Linked DNA regions of Drosophila melanogaster. The protein of the gene in region 1 purifies or fractionates together with the protein of each later gene. This does not show direct contact. Each region holds a gene or a part of one and is shown on either strand. Other genes may lie near its edges.

Evidence for each region.
Region 2: the proteins of Myo31DF (region 1) and SMC5 purify together in Drosophila melanogaster (affinity purification with western blotting, with the first as the bait; one study listed by BioGRID). This does not show direct contact.

What each region holds. Positions count from the first base shown.
Region 1 is NT_033779.5:10,503,616-10,508,904, reverse strand, and holds the start of Myo31DF (myosin 31DF), read left to right. Parts: upstream 1-2,125; 5' UTR 2,126-2,890; coding exon 2,891-2,979; intron 2,980-5,289. Other genes in the region: CG7384 (uncharacterized protein), read left to right, coding at 1-635, 693-818; CG6094 (uncharacterized protein), read right to left, coding at 1,037-1,486, 1,550-1,711. UniProt on the Drosophila melanogaster protein: Unconventional myosin that functions as actin-based motor protein with ATPase activity. Binds to membranes enriched in phosphatidylinositol 4-5-bisphosphate, and can glide along actin filaments when anchored to a lipid bilayer.
Region 2 is NT_037436.4:21,567,093-21,574,055, forward strand, and holds SMC5 (structural maintenance of chromosomes 5), read left to right. Parts: upstream 1-2,159; 5' UTR 2,160-2,286; coding exon 2,287-2,360; intron 2,361-2,428; coding exon 2,429-2,801; intron 2,802-2,864; coding exon 2,865-3,043; intron 3,044-3,164; coding exon 3,165-3,411; intron 3,412-3,463; coding exon 3,464-3,562; intron 3,563-3,627; coding exon 3,628-3,915; intron 3,916-3,969; coding exon 3,970-4,071; intron 4,072-4,129; coding exon 4,130-4,338; intron 4,339-4,397; coding exon 4,398-4,561; intron 4,562-4,639; coding exon 4,640-4,969; intron 4,970-5,024; coding exon 5,025-5,242; intron 5,243-5,298; coding exon 5,299-5,523; intron 5,524-5,593; coding exon 5,594-5,818; intron 5,819-5,883; coding exon 5,884-6,041; intron 6,042-6,097; coding exon 6,098-6,215; intron 6,216-6,275; coding exon 6,276-6,371; 3' UTR 6,372-6,431; downstream 6,432-6,963. Other genes in the region: CG7634 (uncharacterized protein), read left to right, coding at 1-91, 142-287, 352-635; CRIF (CR6-interacting factor), read right to left, coding at 1,043-1,741.

The DNA.
Region 1 (5,289 bases):
CATCGCTGCTACCGCCTGCGGTTAACTCCGGTCTGCTGTGGGCGGTGGCCTGCATTTACAAGATATTCGAGAACGACGATTCGCTCTACGTGGATGTGATTAAATCGCGCCGCTACTCGGACAACCAGGCCACTGAATTGGCCGTGCTCGGCGGCATCAGCATGTGCCTAACTTTGTCCAACGTTCTGTGCGTCTATCTCATGGGCATCCTGGTGCTGAAGGTAAAGGAGATTGCCCCGGTGATTGGGCGCAAAAACCGACAGTTCTGGAAGCACGACATAAAGCTGGCGCGTAATGGCAAAGTGGAAACGGAGTCGGAGATACTCAACGAGCTAATAGCCAATCTGGCCACCGAAGACAAGCACGCACTGGGCTCCATCAATCGTCAGTTCCTGCGCCATCTGGACGAATCAAACTACCAGCACACTTGGTCGCCGCTCAGCAACCGACATAGTTTCTCAATGCCACAACCGCCTGGCGCCGGCATCTCCACCATCCATCGCCTGGAACAATTGTATGCGTCGAGAATAGGGTTTAATCCACCAGCAGTAGAACGACGCCAACGCCACAGCGTAGTAAGCAGACCATCGCAACGGAGCCACGAGGTCTCCGTTCAGCTGAGTCCTCCACAGCCAGTAAGTAGCACACAAAGCTGTCTTGTCTATCCCGAGTGCTCATTTCGTGTATTCCAGCGTCCACGATTCGCGAGCATGCCATCGCAAGTGGGAAAGGACGAGCCAGCTAGGGATGCGGCCATCCAAGTCGCGAGCTCCAAGAGATTTACGGTAACACCAGCTCGAGTGGACGAGCAGACCTAGAATGTTGTCAAGTCCATTTGGGTTTCCACTCTCACAGATCTTTGTATAATATTTAAATAATGTAAGTGTCAATTTTGTAAAGTTAATTAGTTGTTATACTCCAGCAGGGGGTATGTCCGTACAGAATCTGTGATAGTGCTAACCTGCAATGGCGTCCATAGCATAGTTAAGCGTATATGTGTAATGTGCATCTTTGTATAACAATTTCCAATAAAAAACTACAAGTCTAATCCGCTCGGTCCCTGCCGATCCGCTTTGACTTGGGCGCGACCACGTTTCAGTTGTAGACGTTCGCGGACCGCTCGCTCCTGGCGCCTGCGCAGCTTCTCCAGTGTCTCCTCGCTGGGTGGCGCAGGTGCCACAGCCTCCTGGGAGCGTATGATGGTGCGCAGCTTCTCCAGCGCATCGGCCAGGTTCATTTGCTGGGAGCGCGTAAGATCACTCTTGATGTAAAAGTAGCCGTCTTTGGTAATCCGGTTTGCCAGCACCTTGAGCAGCTTCTGGCGCGTCTGCTCGGGTATCCAGTCCGCTTGTGCCACCTTGAAGCGTACATCCACCTTGGTATTCACCGTGTTCACGTGCTGACCACCGGGTCCGGAGCTCCTGCTGTAGGTGATCTCCAGTCGGTCCATGGGAATGAAGCCGCTGAACTTGTCGCTGCCACTGGGCTGGGTGGGGGATGTATACATATATCAATAGATGGGATCCCTGAAGGCACTGCATCCACTTACCGGCGGGGGCGGCGTGTAGATTTGCAGTCGGGCGCCGGGATAGATCTTGTCCAGGGATAAATCGCTCTTGTAGGAGAGCTGACGACCCAGAAGGTTGCCTGTGCCGCCTGAGGAGCTGCTCTGGCGCAGAACTCTTATGAAGGCACTCGTAATTTTATTCATTTTATGCCAAAATTTCAATGAGTTAAGCTAAATTAAATGTTACGAGAACGACGTTTGTGTTCACCACAGAACAGCTGTTCGAGGTGAGTTGCGTGCAGTGTGACCGAACTTAGCTAAGCGCGACAATTCAAAACTCCCAAATCGAAAGCTTGTTTTATCTTTTATGTAACCGTGTTTTCTTTATTGTTAATCCTAAAAAACAATCTTTAATCTTAAAACAAGGGAAAACGATACTTTGTACGCCATACTCTGTAACTTTTCCACTGTCACAAGCATAAGGCAGTGTGGAAAGTGCATTAGGTAAGTCCTCTGGTTGAAGTGCGCACTAGCCAAGTTCCAAGCCATTAGTGGAGTGCCAATTTAGGCAATTTTCAGCTTCGTATGGCGAACATTTTCGTATTCGAAATGTCTGACCACAGTCCCTCTGCAACTTTCATTGAATGCGGTCGAGTGCGGTTGTGCGACGGCCGATTGTTGTTATTAATCCGCCGCAAACGAAACTGAATCCAGGTGGGCACTCACACCGATCTTCCGGACTATATTGCACCGACCTTAAATATATACACGTATATCAAAGACTGGAGAACCCAAAAACTAAATGTTTACAACGTGCGGCAAACGCGAAATTTGCGGTTTTCATTAAACAGTGAGGTAGATAGTGGTTGCGATCGAGTTCTCGTTATATTTATATTTCTGCTTTCGATCTTGTTCTTGTTTTTTTTTTCTCCTGCTCGATTCCAATTGGAAGCGTTCGATCGGTCCAGAAATCCAGAATTATTCTTTATTGATCGCTGTGACTGCGTGTTCGCCGAGAATTATTCGTCGTCATCAACAGAAGCGGCCCGAATTGGCTCATAAAACATAAAAATCGCTTGGCAGCAGCCACACGGAATATATATATATATACATATGTATAAATTTATTTATATTTGTACGCATATATAGTTAAAATTCGAGACGAGACGCGAAAGGCGAGGCAAACAAAACAAGCAAATAAAAACGTAACAAAACAAAAACGAAGTGAACAGCGTGTTTTTCGGGATACTCCTTTCGTTCTTACCTGAGTTTTCGACTCTCACCTTTGCAGCCGGCAATTAGCATCCCCCCCTTCGATCCCCGGAATACCGCACCCTCCGCTCGCGAGTTAAACTCTAATAAACGCAGGATCAAAAGGACACCATGGCTATGCAACGGGAAGCTGGAGTGCAGGACTTCGTCCTCCTCGACCAAGTGTCCATGGAGAAGTTCATGGATAACCTGAGAAAGCGGTAAGTTTGCCTCTAAATTATTTAAGAATTACAAGCTAAGCTAGAATTTTTAATAATAACAAAAGACAGAGAGATTACTTTTACCTTTACCGTATCTATTGATTCCTCCGTTGGCCTTGTCCTCCGCCAACTTGTCCATCTCCACTCCACATCACAAACGACTCCCCCCGCGAACTCCGCGCCTTTGGGAAAACCACTTTTCCTCCAGTCGATGGTCTAGTTCAAGGCTTCTGTTTTGATCGATTAGCGAGCGGAAAAACTGGTTTGACCGTAGTTCTTGGCTTTTCCGCCTTGATTAAACTGGATTTGCTTATCGGCGTTTCAATTAAAGCCGACCTTATCTCCCTCATTTAACCCCTTCCCGCCGAGTTTTCGGTTCCACTCCAGAGGGCACTCAATGGACCCATTTACGTGCTCATTTGGAGTGCTAAACTCTCCTTTTTGTGGCATGACTTTCGGTTTTAAATGCATTCATTAGTGGCATTTCAATTCAATTTGGTAGTTGAACGGAAAGTGGTAATAGATTTGATGGAAAAGGAGAGAAATTCTTAAGAAATATGATATATTTAGCTTAATTAAAGGTTTTTTAAAGTTGGTTACAAACAAAAAATGTGACTACAAACTGCATGAATAAATATTATAAAATGATTGAGAATCAAGCTAACATGTTCAAATCTTTCTGCTTTTTGTAGTTTAAAATAGTAGTTATCAAGTAGCAGATGTATCTGTAAATCATCCAGCTACCATTATCTAAGTTAAATATTTAAGAGAGTGAAATCCATGTCACATTCCCACTCCGGGGACCAACCGCCCAATCGCGTGTCAATATTTGTGTGGCCGGCACTGTGGTTCCAGGTGGTTACCTACATGACCATTATGTAAAGTTCCTTAACCCACCGACAACCACGCAGCCACAACCCACATATATCATTTCATTTTATTTCATTTCGGTCCGAGTGTCAACAACTTGTTGCAACCGCTTCCTTTGCACTTGGAGCACGAATGGATTCCCCATCCATTTTCATACCGGGTCGCTGGTTTGCTGCATGGCTGGCTAACTTTCATGTGGAAATGATCGTTATCCGGAAAAGTTCTCGCCACCACATACATTTTGTTCAACTGATTGGCAGAGCATTGCAAAATTGTAGAAATTCGGGGTTTTGGTAACAAGTCTGCTGTTTGATAATTAAATGATTATTTTTCCAAATATTTTGCAATGTCTATAAATAAATGGTGTTACGATTCCCCGGCACTGATTCATCTAATCTGTTTATGTTTATATTCACTTAATTGCTAAAAGACTCTCGGACGATTCATCACAATAACGATTTGAATGATAAGACAAAAGCTGCAAATGAGTCAAATTGTTCAAATTGCCATCGCAAAAGGAAACGCATTGGAGTAAACCCAGTTGTATTTTGAGCTGGTTAATTACCATGGTTGAGATTAGTGGCTTGCATAAGACTGTAATTAAAGCGGACTTACGGCCAAAGATGCGTTAACCCACTTTGGTGGCTCACAAATCGCTTATCAAAGCATCAGCAAATCAAATTAAGCTGTGTAAATTGAACTAATTACATAATCACAGTCATACCTGCAATAGCAAACACGATTTTCATGTCTTACTGTACGGCATAATCGTAGCATAACTCAAATCAATTTGCTGTTTGTTAATAAATATTTAACAGGAAAGCCGGAAAACTGAAAACCAAACGAGTTGAGAAACTCGCCTCAACAAATTGAGGGTCAAAAACGCGCCAAAAATGGGAGGAAAACGCACACGTAATTGGAAAATGTGCGATGAAGACGTAAAAGAAATAAAACTCACTTTCATTTGGCATCAATCAAATGGGGAAATGAATGCATTTCGCTGCACATATATATATATATATATATATATATATCTAGTTTACTTGTTTGCCACATGACATCACATGTGTACTCATTGTTTGGCAGCTTGAAAATCCTATATTTTATTTAAGCAATATTAAATATATCTGCATGCTCCGTGACTCATGCTGTGTATCTTGCAGATACGCGAGTCAACAATAAGAAAACTGAAATAAAAATGCCATGGCGTAGCCAAAATACGAACCGGTTGATGGCGTCAGTTTGGCCGAGAGAGACTCACCCACAAAATAGAAGAGTGTGTATGTGTTTTTGAAAAGAAAACTTGTTTCTTTTTGCCCCCAAAATGAACCCATCTGGGATTCCACGATCCCCCAAAAGAAACAGATGAGTTCTCTGTTTGCCGCAATCCAAGTTCGCAGCATTTGGAGCAAGTTGATCTTTTTTACGACTGTCATTAAG
Region 2 (6,963 bases), on another chromosome or scaffold:
ACAAGTCAAAGGAAGTGAAACACTTCGTATTTGGGGATCGAACTACGCACCAAGGCTCGGAAACAGTAGATCCGGCCTTGACAAAATCACGGTAACTCGCAGTCGAGATAAAAATTCTATTTTAATTTATTTTGTTTTCAGTCTAATGGGAAACCGACTCGAGAACCGTATGAATTTCGCAAAGTACCCTATAGAGAAGTCCTACCTACTTCACCAAATGGCAGAGATTCATCTTAAATCACACAGGTTTGACGAATGCTGTTTTAGTGCCCGAAAGTCTATTGAAGGTTTGGTCCATTAGTGCTATACTATTAAACGGTTATGGAAATACCTATATATCTATCTTTTTAGAGGCAAAAAAATGCAATAGCTACATTTGGCAGTTTCTGTGCTACCTACTGATAATAAAGGCGAATGCTGCACTCCACAAAGTCGAGCGAACCAGTGAAGCTCTAGATCTGGCACTAAAAATTTCCAAGGAATTGAAAGAAAAGCATATTCATAACTTCTTGACTGCCTGTATACACTGTAATGAGGAGGAATTCATCGTGAAGAAGCAGAGCATTTTTGCGAATAGCCGGCGCGAAAGCGAAAAATCGGTGTATAGTTCCCTGTCCGTGCGCCATAGCAATTAGAGCTTTGTATTATTTGTATAACCAAAAATATTGATTAATAAATTCTCAGTGCAATTATAATAGTGTAGTGACCTATTAGATACCTATACTCAAGTACCCCTGCGTATTTGGAATTTGCATTCTTATTATCAACTTGCAAGCTCCTTCATGGCTAGATCGACTCGGCTACTGATCCTCTTTTAAAAATAATGCTTGTGTAACGTATATATTACACAAACATCGGGCTTACTTTTCACTAGTCTAAGCAAATTCTTGTCTTAATTTATAAAAATATAAAATATTTTGCAACACTTTAAAATATTTTATGGGAGTACAGATAATAAGTGCTCTTCTTTTTGCAGTGTTTTTATTTTAGTGTAACATACAACAGTTCTTCGCTTAAATCGATGGTTTTGATACTACAAATATTACACTGATGCTTTCTCTACCAGCTTGGCCATCATCTTCTCCTCCTTGGCCTTTCGCTTGGCCTCCTTCTGCTTCTTCTTGTCCTCCTTCTCTTTTTGCTCTAGCATTTCCTTAAAGCGTTCGTCGCGTGTATCCACCTTGAACCCGAAGTGTCGGCGCACCTCCTCTACCAGGCGTTCCTTGCGTTGTATGGCTGCCGCTGCATCCGCCTCCCGCTTAGCGATCTTCGCGTGCAGGTCCGCCTTCCACTGTGTCAACTTCTCCATCTTCTTCGCAATGTCCTCTTCACGGGCATTTATCCTTGCCAGCTCCTCTGCCTTCTGCGCGCGGTTCTTCTCCAGCATTTTCAGGAGTGTTTCTAGTTGCATAACCTGCCTGCTGTCTTTCTCTCCGTGGGAATCGAAGCAAATCTTGGGATTCACATTGCTCTGGGCCCCATACCGGCCGAATGCCTGTCTCTGGTACTTCTCGGTCAAATGAATCCAGGAGTGAGGTTCCTGGTATGGCAATTTGTTAAGGAGCACATTTTTGTGTTGTGGTTGCAGGCCGGATCTGTCCACCGTCTGGGGATATGTTGGTTCCACATCCACGTCGCCGACCAAGGAAGCCGGCAGTTCCGCTTTCGCAGCGCTCGAGTACTGGGCGCACGAGCGGAGGGCAGGAAGTCTGGTGACAACGCTTATCTTGCCTACATTCATTTTGAATTGTATTGTCTAAGCAAAATAGTTTATTAATTTCCAATAGAGATGAGAGAAAATCGATAGCGATGACACCAATGCTGGCAACTAAACCCTTTTGGAGCTAAATTCAGATATTTTTTAGGCCCCGTCAGAAAGATAAGTAATAGATATTAATTGTTGTGACAGTCTGGCTGCATCCCAGCTCAAGCTCTATATATTTCTTTTTTCCTTGCTATTTATTTCTATCAATTTGTAATTATCGTTTCCACGATTTGTTACTGACATTTTACTTGTCAGTTTTTATTCCGAAAATAGATTTCTGAGGCTTAAAATTATCATTTTTATGTTGTCAGCTCAAAATATAAAAGAAACATAAATTGATTATACATACGGGCGGCGCACAAGTGTACCCTTAATATACCAATCGTTATCGACAACAATGGTACGTGCACATATGCCCTAATGCAAAACTAAATTCTTGAAAGCGCGGAATTGCATTTAAAACAACTCGTTTTACTTAAGTTGAAATAAGCATTTGCTCGGATAAAAGCCTACGCCACGACATGGCGGGGGATCGTGCCTTAAGTTCCAAGCAATTGGCGGGGCGCATACATTCCGTGTACTGCAAAGATTTCGTGTAGGTTTATTTCCATCAAAGGCGCAAATTGACAATTTCGCGGCTCATTTGATTATTTCCAACAACAGATCCTACAGCGAGATCACATTCCATCCGAAGCACTACCTGAACGTTCTGACCGGTCCCAATGGCAGTGGCAAGTCCACCATCGTGTCGGCCATAATTTTGGGCCTCGGAGGGGAACCGATTCTCCTTGATCGCTCCGCCAGCGTTGCCGACTACATACAGAGCAACAAAACCTCGGCCACCATAATTGTCCGGGTGTATGGACGCACGCCCAACACCACGGAAACCTTTCGGCGCATAATAAACTCTAATGGCTTGTCTACCTTCTCTGTGAACGACAAAGACACCTCCAAGAAGAACTTTTTGGCTGCTGTATCCTCCTTTAACATACAAGTCAGCAATTTGTGTCAGTTCCTCCCGCAGGATCGGGTTCAGGTATGTCGTTATGTTGGCAATTCATAAATTACACACCTATTTATTGTAAACATACTGTTTCAGGACTTCTCCAAGATGAATCCTCAAGAGCTTTTGCTCAACACAATGTCCTCCGTGTGTGACGAAGACCTGATCAACAGCTTCAACAGTCTAAAGCAAATGCGCACAGAACAGGCGAATGTCCATGCTAATCGGGAAAAAGAGAAAAGTGATCTGGTTAAGAAGCAAAAACGATTGGAACAGTAAGATATAGTTACCCGAGCTTATTTTTATTCACTAAGTAAAATGTAACCAAATGTGTGGATGAAGTACAAAATTTTAATTCTTACTAAAAACCTAATTGTCTTAATATCATTTTATTAGCTTACAAATGACTGTGTCCCAATATAAAGAACGCGAAGAGGTCAAGCAAAAGCTGCAGGTGTACAGTGCGAAGAAATTGTGGGTTGAGACTCAGGCTGGAGAAGCCAAGGCCGCAGAAATGAAAACTCAAGTGAAAAACGCAAAAACTCAGAGCGACAAATTGAAGAACCAACATGACAAACTTCTTCAATCCCAAGAACAAATTGAGAAGGAAAAAGAATCACTCAGAAAGGCCTTATTGGAAAAGGTAATGGGTGGCAGTGTTTTTTAATATATTTTTTAAAAATAAGTTTTTTTAGACACGCTTATTAGAAAACGCTGTAGCGGAGAAGGCGGCTATTGATGGTAAAATGGACTCTTTGAAGCAAGGAATTTACCAAAAAAAATATGAACTGGAGGTTGGTGTTCTTGTTGCATATATCGATCATGTGAATAACTCTTAATCTTACATTCTGTCACATAGCAAAACATTAAAAAATCACGAAGAACGGCCACAGAGTGTGATAACCTAAATCAGTTGGTGGAGAATAAAATTTACGAGCTTGAAACCCTAAATAAGAGCAGGCCTCTGATCGTTTCGGAACTTGAAAGGGCTAAGGAATCGTGCGCAGCTGCCCGCGGGAAAGCAATGGAGCAGTACAGCAGACGGAGACAACTGGAACAAAAACTGAATGATGAAATGATTCCTGAAATTACTGCGTATAAACTTAAAATAGAGCGGTTGAGAAACGTCAAAATGCAAAAGATTGATGTAAGTTCTTACTGAAATAATGAAAACTCAACTTAACGCTACCTTTCATTTTAGGAAATTAGAGCAAAAAATCCGAATTTGGTTGTGGCCATGAACTGGTTGGCGCAAAATAAGCAAAGGTACAAATTGAACGTTTATGACCCAATGATACTTGAGGTGAGCTTTTCAAAATGAAGCCATTACCAATGGCCTAATGTTAAAACCGCTATCATAGCTTACAGTACAAAATCATGAGGACGCAAAGTTTTTGGAAAACGTTGTGGCGCAGCGCGATTTATTTGCATTTGCGTGTGAGGACAAGGGGGATATGTCGGACCTGATCAACGAGTTGTGTGTGAAGCAAAAATTGGGAGTTAACGTTATTTACTGCGCACCATCCGATAGACTCGTGTACAGTCCCAAAACTCCCATCGATGATCTGCGGTATGCACTTGTCAATTGTCCAATACTAGTCCAATACCTAGTTTTAAATACTTTTACAGCTCTTTCGGATTTCGGTCATACCTCGTGGATCTTGTCACGGGACCAATACCACTAATAAACAAGCTGTGCGCTTCCTATTCCATTCATAATATACCAATTGGCACAGAAGCTGTGGGCAATTACACTTCATCCATTCCAAAAGCTATCCGAGTTTATTTCGGCGGTGTGTATATTTTTCTTATTCGGTTTCGCTTCGCAAATGTATAAATTCTGATTTTGAATTCCGTACTGTGCATTTTAGGCAGCAAGAAGTTCGTTGTGACCGCATCCCGCTATCGGTCGGATACTATTCTAACTGAAAGTAGCATTCGAGCGAAGAACCAACTTATTACAGTGGACTCACAACAACTGGCCCTGGTGATGAAACAGTGCTCCGAAGCAGTGAAGGAAAGCGACAGCATTAAAAACGCAATAACCCAGACCGACAATGAATTTGAACGATTGCAAGCTGTTGCAAAGGATGAGCAAGAGAAGAGACGAAAGCTTGACCAAAAAATAGCCCATTTTAATAGCCTGAAAACCGAAATTGAAACGCTCCAAAAGAAGCTGGAAGCCCTGCGCAATAGCGATTGTAAGTATTTCTTAGTGCACTAAATATTCAGCCATTATGAACCGTGTTTTTTCAGCGCTAGACTGTCTTGAAACCAATTTTTGTAACAGTTTGCATAAAGACTTAAAAAAAATATTCGATGCTGATGCGGAATTGTGCTCGTGCTTGAAAGCTATTGACCGACTTATAATTGAAAAGAATATGGCCCAGACAAAGGTATCCATTTATATGCTGCAACATGAGACTCAAATTGAAGCCCTCAAGGAAAGCGAGGAACAGAGTAAAGCAGCAACCGTAAGGAAATCGAAATGCACTTAAGGAATTTATTTATAGGAATGTTTTGCTTGCAGAGAGACTTCCAACAGTTGCTGCAGTGCTTAGAAAATCAAATTAGCGACGTTAACAAACGAAAGAGCGCTATTCAGGGCCTTTGCCACGGAGAAATTCCAACCAGTAGCAAATTTCCTTTTAAGAAGGAATTTAGGGAGCTGGAAAATATAGATTTGCCCGAACTACGAGAGGCAATACATGACTTTCAGGCACGATTGGAGTGCATGAAAAGTGTAAACTCCGAGGTAAAACACTCTTTTAAATTAGTGAACTGAAGCTGATATATCTAATAACTTTCCATATTAAAATATGCAGGCCATCAGCAGCTATCAAGGACTGCAAAATGAAGTCAAGCAACTGGAGGAAGGAATTCAAGAGTCTGTTAACCAAGCAAAGAGCATCGAGTCTGGCATGTCCAATTTATACGACAAATGGGAGCCCAAACTTAATAGCTTGGTAGAAACAATCAGTACCAAGTTCAGCGAATTTATGGAGTCCATTGAATACGTGGGAGAAGTTGTGTTATCCAAAACCGACAAAGTGAGAACTTAAACTGTCCTACATAAAAACTTTACTTCAAATGTATTTCACTTTATTAATTCTAGTATGACTTTGACTCATATGGTATTCAGATAATGGTCCAGTTCAGGAGAGGTCTCCAGCTGCAGCCGCTGGACAAGTTTATTCAATCTGGTGGCGAACGCGCAGTGTCCATCGCCATATACTCATTGTCCTTGCAACATGTCACCCACGTGCCATTCAGGTGATTGCGGAACCCAGCTGCAAACTGACGCCCGATTTATAGTTCTCCATTTCTAGGTGTGTCGATGAAATAAATCAAGGCATGGACGCTACAAATGAACGTCACATATTCGACTTGCTCCTCAAAGAAGCCACCAAGCACGGCTCGGCTCAGTATTTATTTGTAACACCTAAGGTAAATATAAATGCTTATTCATTTAAATATTTAGTTAACTGTTTTAAATCTTCTTTGTAGTTGCTTCGAGACCTGAACTACAACGAACATCTCTGTGTTTCCATTGTTCACAACTCAAAAACTGTTTGCCATGGCATGCAATTCCCGATGGCTTAGACACTTTGGGTCATCCAGATTTACTATATGTATTTTTTTATATTAAACACTACAAAACATATCTATTGCATTTTGTCGAATGACCAGCCTTGTGGGGACTCCTTTTCGAACTGTTGGCCTACTCGGAATAAAATCTGTAAGCCGGTAAACAAGTCCAAAGGCAATGATGCCTGACGATTTGTTTTATCAGATTTCAATTTGTCCTCGATTTAAAACCCTACAACAGCACCTATATCTTATTTCATATGTGAAATGATTTTAACACTACAATGCGAATACTTTTAAGTAAAGAGATGCCTTTGTACATATGTTTTTTAAGTAATTGGATAAACTATTTTGGGATGTTAAAAAATATATTTATATTTATATATATATTTATATATATTTAGATATGCAATTTAATGCAAATCATTTCTTTACAGGGTTAATATTAAGCAAAGTATGTCAAAAGTATGATCCCTCGACGCAAACTATAAAAGTTCAGGTTAACTTCAGATAGATGGTTAGTTTTTTATCAGCTCCAAAGAAGTCGGGTTTTGATCGCAATCCGTGTGTGCCCTTATTATGGTTGGGATTTTTTAGATCAGCAGTT